Linked DNA regions of Bombyx mori. The protein of the gene in region 2 interacts with the protein of the main gene of each other region in a pairwise test. Links are inferred from orthologs where the notes say so. Each region holds a gene or a part of one and is shown on either strand. Other genes may lie near its edges.

What was found.
Region 1: the proteins of protein expanded (region 2) and HPO interact in a two-hybrid assay, tested with the Drosophila melanogaster proteins (2 studies listed by BioGRID). The link is inferred for Bombyx mori from reciprocal best matches to the Drosophila melanogaster genes ex and hpo.

What each region holds. Positions count from the first base shown.
Region 1 is NC_085111.1:717,355-721,178, forward strand, and holds part of HPO (serine-threonine kinase-like protein), read left to right. Parts: intron 1-587; coding exon 588-746; intron 747-2,309; coding exon 2,310-2,537; intron 2,538-3,059; coding exon 3,060-3,268; intron 3,269-3,343; coding exon 3,344-3,453; intron 3,454-3,755; coding exon 3,756-3,824. UniProt on the Drosophila melanogaster protein: Plays a key role in the Hippo/SWH (Sav/Wts/Hpo) signaling pathway, a signaling pathway that plays a pivotal role in organ size control and tumor suppression by restricting proliferation and promoting apoptosis.
Region 2 is NC_085118.1:7,034,357-7,038,845, reverse strand, and holds the start of protein expanded, read right to left. Parts: upstream 3,014-4,489; 5' UTR 2,880-3,013; intron 1-2,879. UniProt on the Drosophila melanogaster protein: Activates the Hippo/SWH (Sav/Wts/Hpo) signaling pathway, a signaling pathway that plays a pivotal role in organ size control and tumor suppression by restricting proliferation and promoting apoptosis.

The DNA.
Region 1 (3,824 bases), on a different chromosome or scaffold from region 2:
CGCTACCTACGCCGATTATAAATTATCGGTAATAAAGTACTCGTAACCCACGTGGACTCATCCCGCTTAGACAATCTGCGAACTTCACATGTGTTCTATGTTGTGCATAGTTTAGTATTTAAGAACGAGCCGATGTCACCAATGTTACCGTCACCGTCCTCGTCAAACCCGTCGATTGCGACGAAGGGCTCGACGAGCGAATTAACTCATAGACACAGCCCACTGAGTTTTTCGCCGGATCTTCTCAGTGGGTCGCGTTTCCGATCCGGTTGTAGATTCTGCCAAACACTGCTCTTGCTAGAATCAGTGTTAGCATCACTTCGGTTTGAGCCCCGTGAGCTCTCCTACTAGTTAAGGTTACGCTGAAATAGCCTCTCAAGGCTATCAGCATAGATAGGAAAAAGAAAACAGTGTTAACGATGGTGATTTGTTTTTTTTGGCTATGACCATATTTTTTGGCAATGCGTCCCAAGCACTCCAATCAGACAGCCCGACAATAGATTTACTGAATAATGATGCAATTTAAATAATTTTTGCACCGCGCTTACTTAGTGCAGTGTGCCTTACTCTACGTTTTTAAATTGCAGGCGTTACACAAAGAAAGCGGACAAGTGCTTGCTATAAAGCAGGTACCTGTGGATACAGACCTGCAGGAGATCATAAAGGAGATATCAATAATGCAGCAGTGCGACAGTCCTTACGTCGTCAAGTATTACGGGAGCTACTTCAAAAATACCGATCTGTGGGTAAGAAATGGGGTCTTTGTCTTCTTCTATGCCCTTGTTCCATTAGGTGGTCTCGGCTACCGGCGAGTTGTCTGACGCGAACTAATCAGGTATTGTGACTACTACTACAGTAGTGGGTGGAAGTGATCTAGGTTTCATATCCGATTAAGTGTATGTGCTTAGTGTTGTTTCTGTGTGAGAAATAAATAGTTAGCGCAAATTTCAACCCAATATTTTGGCAAATAAAACCTCAATGCTCTCGACCGTTGCTGCGAACCTGAGTTACTCCTAATTCCGTAAATAACAAATGCATTCTTAATCAAAAAGGGGATGGCCCATTTTAGGCCCAAAGCGGACAATAGATTATAGAAAAAATACTTAGTGCATTAATTTTGTCATAAATAAATATGCATTTACTTTCTTGCAAATAAGCGCCACTACAGTTTACAATAAGTAGTTTAAAAAAAGTAACTCTATTGAAAAAACAAGGATTTTTATTTTTGCGGGAAAAATATTGCCAGCTTCAAAACCTTTTACGTATGAAGTAAATATTTTGAGTATATAAATAAAACATATAAATAAATCATTTTAAGTATTATCATTAATCAAACGATTTTAATGGATTTTATGCACATAAAATAACATCGAAGACATACCCATTGGACTTTAACTTGTAACTATACTTGAGACCTTAGAACTTATATCTCAAGGTGGGTGGCGCATTTATGTTGTAGATGTATGTGGGCTCGAGTAACCACTTAGCAACACCAGGGTGGCTGTGAGCTCACCCACCCATCTAAGCAATAAAAAAAACTTTACTAGTATTGTTATTTAAATATGTACAACTAAAACAAAAACATAAAAAATAATGTGTACTCGTAAAATAAAGATTAAGATATAAATCAATTATCGGTTATTTAAAAAAATAATCGATATATGAATTTCATGTAATTATTTTTCTTTATACTGACAACACTGAATTTAATCTGACTGACTGATACTTCGCTTGCTGCTTGTGTGTGGTGTTGTGCTTGCGTACAAAATGGATGTGTTTTGATTTTTCTTCGATTTATTTTACTTTTATCAATAACGTTTCATACTACGACTAAAAAACATTGTGTGAATTGTGGTTTTACCCTGACCGAGATTTAAAACCGTGTATATGCTCTCCTTTGCTATTTTTAGATGATACTAATTGTGTATGAAGATGAAGAAAATATAGATATTTAAAGAATTAAGTGTGTTTTTATACCCTATTGGGTAAAAATACATTAGGAACATCTTAAACATTAAGAAAAGAAAAGTTCTTGAAGTATCTCACAATCCGACACTTATTTATATAGAAAATTAACCTCAAAACGAGTTTTTATTTTTATTATATTTTTTATAATAGTGGCCTCAATTTCAATATATTTTTTAGATATCCAATACATTTAAGAATTTGAATCAGTACATTTTTAAAGTAATATTTGATGTCCATCTTGGGCCTAGCACACTATGGAGAGTGGGCAATCCCCTTTTCGTCCTGGCAATGAAAATTCGGATACATTATTATATTGACATGGTGTCTTTTGTAACTTACAGATCGTGATGGAGTACTGCGGGGCGGGCTCGGTGTCGGACATAATGCGGCTGCGCAAGAAGACTCTGTCGGAAGACGAGATAGCGACCATCCTCTGCGACACGCTCAAGGGCCTGGAGTATCTGCACCGGCGGAGGAAGATCCACCGGGACATCAAGGCCGGGAACATCCTCTTGAACACCGAGGGACACGCCAAACTGGCGGACTTCGGGGTCGCCGGGCAGCTGACCGTGAGTTCTTTTTTTTATTGCTTAGATGGGTGCACGAGCTCACAACCCATCTAGTGTTAAGTGGTTACTGGAGCCCATAGACATCTACAACGTAAATGCGCCATCCATCTTGAGATATAAGGTTCTAAGGTCTCAAGTATAGTTATAACGGCTGGCCCACCCTTCAAATGGTGGTACCCACCTGCGCGGACTCACAAGAAGTCACCAGTAATTATGCAAATTATAATTTTGCGGGTTTGATTTTTATTACACGTTCCTATTCCTTCACCGTGGAAGTCAATCGTGAACGTTTGTTGAGTACGTATTTCATTAGAAAAATTAGTACCCGCCTGGGATTCGAACACCGGTGCATCGCTCAACACGAATGCACCGGACGTCTTACTCTTTAGGCCACGACGACTTCGTCCAAACCTTTGAACTTTGGACTCTTACTGACCCTCGAACGTATAATCGTCGTAGGCACGATGTAATGCAACCCTTAGTACAATATGATGGACATGTACACGACTTCCCCATTCTCAGGACACGATGGCGAAGCGCAACACGGTTATCGGCACCCCGTTTTGGATGGCGCCCGAGGTCATTCAGGAGATCGGGTACGACTGCGTGGCCGACATCTGGTCCCTGGGCATCACCGCTCTGGAGATGGCGGAGGGCAAGCCGCCCTACGGAGACATACATCCCATGAGGGCCATCTTCATGATACCCACCAAGCCGCCGCCTTCCTTCAGGTACGCAGTCCGCGCCGAGCCTGCCACTCCACTAGCTCCACACGAGCTGGCTTCATTCTGAACGTTTGGTTGCAGGGAGCCGGACCAGTGGTCGTCAGAGTTCATAGACTTCGTTAGTCAGTGCCTCATCAAGAACCCTGAAGACAGAGCCACAGCAGAGTTTCTATTGGCTCATGAGTTTATAGGTAAGTATAGTGTCTCTTGTGTCGCGCCGGGCCGGGCGCCCTACGGCCACTATTTGGAACTAATACAATGAGTGGGAATTTCTCTAGGACAATACGCGTGTCGTAGGGGGTACGCTCATAAATATATAATCAGAGACAATCCTCACGTGGTCATTGTCCCCGAGCGGAGATCCCCCGTACAGTGGGAACTGGAACACAAATATGTTACATACTTTTAAACATTATACATTTTAACCATCCAAATACTTGTGTGAAGTTGGGAAGCTTCCTCAGCGCGTCAGTAACAGTAATAATTGTCGTAGGTAACGCGAAGCAGCCCAGCATACTGAGCACCATGATAGCGGAGGCCCGGGAGCTGCGGGAGACGCAGC
Region 2 (4,489 bases):
GGCTGATGCCCAGCGTGTGCCAATCCACCACAGTCCTCGTGACGGGAACGGAATCGGGAGCGCGACCGAGCTTCATAACGACGGGACGGTGGTCTGAATCTAACTCTGAAACTACTTCGATCGAGTGTAAGCGCAGAGTTACGTTTTTTAATAACGCTTTGTCGAGTATATCCGGGCGATGCGCGATATTTAGCGGGTAGTGAGTCGGGGTTAGCGGCGCGACGATATCGAAGGCGAGATCATCGACTAACGCGTCAAGCCGCCTGCCATTCGGGGTTGTGGTGTGTGAGTTCCACCTGATGTGTTTACAATTTAAGTCGCCCGCCAGAATGACAGAGCTCCCCATACCGAGCAGCGCCTCGATATCACTGCTTAGAACGATCTTATCCGGTGGAAGATAAACGGACGCGATAACGATCGGCGCGTGTCCCGTCAGTGAGATTCGGCACACTGATGCTTCGATATTAGCGAGCGCGGGAGGATCGAGCGGGACGCAATGCAGGGCTCTTCTATAGTAAATGACGGTACCACCACCACGGGCAGAGAGCCTGTCGTTCCTGACCATGTTATAGTTCGCGATTTTAGGGTCATGGCGCGCGGGCTTAAGTAGGGTCTCCTGCACTAAAAAGATATCAATTTGGTGGTCACGCAAAAAGTCAGAAACCTGATCACGTTGATTTGCGAGACCGTAAGCGTTAAAAAATCCTATCGTTACGGATAGGGGCTTTATTCTACTTATATACGCCATTGATTACCGGCGGAGTGAGGGGAGGACGTACGTATTTAATGACGCGTATACGTCGGCGTATTCCTGCACAACGGCGATAAAGTGTTGTGCAGTGGAGGCAGCGCGAATGGCGTCGCCCAAAGCGTTAACGCGCTCAAAGTTGATCGACTGAAAGAAGTCGATCGCTAAAGCGAGATTGTCGGACGCGGTCGGAGGGCAAGTCGCGGGAGAGGGACGAGTCGCGGGGGCGGGACGAATCGCGGAGGAGGGAGTTGTAGCCGTGTTCGTGTACGGCAGCGGTTTTGCCCAGGCCGAGACACTGGGCACCGCCGCCGGAACGAACGCTGGCTTAGCCTGCGACGCAGAGGGTGCCGAGGCTTTGATGTCTGGGCCGGAAGCTCGGAGGCGGTTTTGGCGGGCGACGCGGCGATTTATTTTAGGGGCTCGGGGGCAACCACGGTAATTCGCGGGGTGACCCTGTGTTCGACACAGGACGCAGCTAGGCGGTTCCGTCGCGGTTTTTTGGTCGCGAGCGCAGAGGGCCGTGGCGTGATCGCCCAAACACTTAACACATCGGGGGCGCGCGTGACAGTTACGGGAAGAGTGCCCGTACAATTGACAGTTATGGCACTGGCTAGGAGTGCCTTTTTTATGGGGGGCTTCGACAGCGATACCAGAGAGCCTACAGACGGTCTGTGTGTTAAAGATTTTCTTACCCTCGGGGGTAGGCTGGAGAGCGACTAGAACCATATTATATGGCTCCCTACCGCGACCGGTGTGCATACGGTGCACAGAATTCACTGGTAGGCCTTGTTCTAACAGGTCGGCTTTTACGAGCTCTACATCTAACTCTTTAGGGATTCCGCGTATTACAACGCGGAGTTCGCGCTCCTCCTGGAGCGTATACGTATGGAAACTTATACGCTCCTTACGGAGGTAAGAAGAGAGGGCCCTATGGTCGTCGGGTGTTTGAACCTTAATTTGAATGCCGTTCGCGAGGTTACGGGCATTCGTGAAATTTATATTTTTGGCCTTAAGGGCCAGGCAAACTCGATCCCAAGCTGCCTTCTCCTGAAGGATAACCGGGGGAGGGGTCTGGGTTTTATTTTGTGCCACCGGACGCGGCGACGGAGTGGCACGGGCTGGGGGCGCAACGGGAGTCTGAGGGCGGGGGCGCGACGCGTTCACGGCTTTGCTAATTTTAGCGGCCGCGGGAGCTCGAGACTCCGCGGCACGCTTCTTACCCTTCTGTACCAGGGTGAATCCATCCGTCGATGAGGCGGGGGCGAGGTCGACCTCCATGTCCGAGTCAGAGTCGGAGCACGAGGAGGCGGGTGCAGGCGACCTACGAGCAAGTGTAGGTGTTTTAGAGGGCGCGACGGAGGCCGCGGATGATCGCTCAGCTGAAACGATGGTCACGGCGGACGACGCAGCAGCTTTTCTCGCCAGTATAGGCGACACGGGAGCGGCAGGCACGACAGAGGCTGCGGTGCTCAATGCAGAAGCTCTGCACGCAGGTACAGGCGACGCAGGAGCAGCGAGCGCGGCGGAGTCCTCGAGAGGGCTCGCAGTGTGATTGGCCTTGAAGGCCAAAAACTCCGAGGCGAGCTGTGGGTGGCGAAGTCGGAGGAATTCCGCGAATACAGCGTCCATGATCGCTGAGTACCCAGGTGGGGCGGCCCCGGGTCTTGAAAACACTCGCCTTGCGGCGAGGCCCCAACTTCTCGGACCTGAGCGGTTCTATTGAACACAGGAGTCCGTACTCTAGTACCGCGTAGTGTACGGCTTGAGAGTTAAGACGAGATGCTAGCTTGATGTCAGCGAGGGGTCGTTTTTTACATGTGGAATGCTCGAGCTCCTATTTAAATTATATTTCTACATAGGCAAAATGCTGACTTAAAATCCGGCGGCTGAAATAATGATCAACTTAACGTATTTTTTTAATAAAGATGAATTTTTAAATGACGAGTTTAATAGGGCAAATCAACAATAGTAAAATTACAATCGTAAAAACAAACCCACTTTAAAGTTACATCGGTTCGATTACGAACGCATTCTTTCAGCGGCTGTACTGGAGAAATACTAATTATATTTATATACAATCTAAAGTATTTGTAGAGAGTTAATCCTTAAATAATGACGAATATCTTACCTGTGTTATTAAGGTAAACTAAAATTTGTTTTGCACTCAACTTTATAAGTGAAGTAGTTTTGAAAGCTAGCCACGTTTCGTTGTGACAATCACGAAATGTTTTATGAAGCTAAGTAGTAAATACATATATCTACATATTATGTTATATTTATATGTTCGTGTGTGAGTTCGATATTCGACCATAACCAAATTAGTCAGTGACTCCTCAAGATTTAGATTCATTCTATTTATGACATTACATTTTTTGTTCTGTTAGTGTTTTCTTTAAAACTTATTATATTTCTTTTTTTTTTAAATTGATGGTTGACTAAAGCTAAATATACTTTATATAGAGAATAAAAAGGTGCTGAGCTGTTTCGTCTTTGCCTATTTAATATTTATTTAAAGATGCAAATTTATATTTTCAGTTTAGGTATGTAGCTTTTATTTCAAATTAAGTTTTATACAAACGTACGTACAAACGCACTCTAAATGTCTTTTCAATTTAATTTTATTATGTAAGTGGCTGAGAAACCTCACGGCCGAAGCGGAGCCCATAGACATCTACAACGTAAATGCCGCCACCCACCTTGAGATACAAGTTCTAAGGTTAGTATAGTTACAACGGCTTCCCCACCCTTCAAACCGAAACGCATTACTGCTTCACGGCAGAAATAGGCAGGGCGGTAGTAACTCCCGTGCGGACTCGCAAGAGATCCCACCTCCAGTAATACAAGGGTAATACAGTAGTACATGAGCTTGAAATATCAATTAATTTATATGATGAATGCTGTAGCCTTCAAAGCGGAAGGTGTGACTGCTGGTGGTGCGTGTAATGAAAGGGAAAACAGCCGAGAATACTATTATATGTACCATGATAGCACGTCGCATTAACATATCCATATTTAAAAACTGCGGGTCACAATTTGTCTACCACGTGCTTAAACGTGTCCTTTAATAGAGGAAAGACATCCACAGCCCTCACTTGATAATCATAGCCATCAGGATTGGGAACCTCCTTGCCGAGTATGCTCTTTTATTACCAATTATAACTTGAATCGCTTCATATCTTGAAACTTTATTAGGCAATTCATGCTATTTAAATAAAGCCTTACATGTTTAATTATATGACAACAATATCTAGTACTTGATTATTTTTCAAATTGTAAAATCCGAAAATTTGTGAGAATAGATGGAGATTTTTACTCTTTCAAAGAAAAACTATTAGGTTTTGATCAAACTTCACAGTTTAATAGTATAGACATCAGAATATCACACAGTGCGGTAGTAATTTATATTTTCATACAATTGGATACATTTCATATTTATTAAACCCGGAGCGTGACTACGATTCATTAGTAAAAAATAATGTTAAGATGCAATTCCGCATTTCCGCAAACGCTGCATTGTGCGGAACAATTTGCAATGTACTGTTGGACCGATTTTGATATAAGTATTGAATGTTTGGATGGATTCCCAGTTAGTTTACTCACGTCATTTCGGATCCTCCCGATCCACTAACGGCGCTTTTTGGTAACTCAAGCACTGGTCACCGTTTTTATCGAACTCGTCGCTTGAGATGAAGGGTTCCGTGAGTAAATTAACCAAATCCGCAGCGACATTTGGCCGGA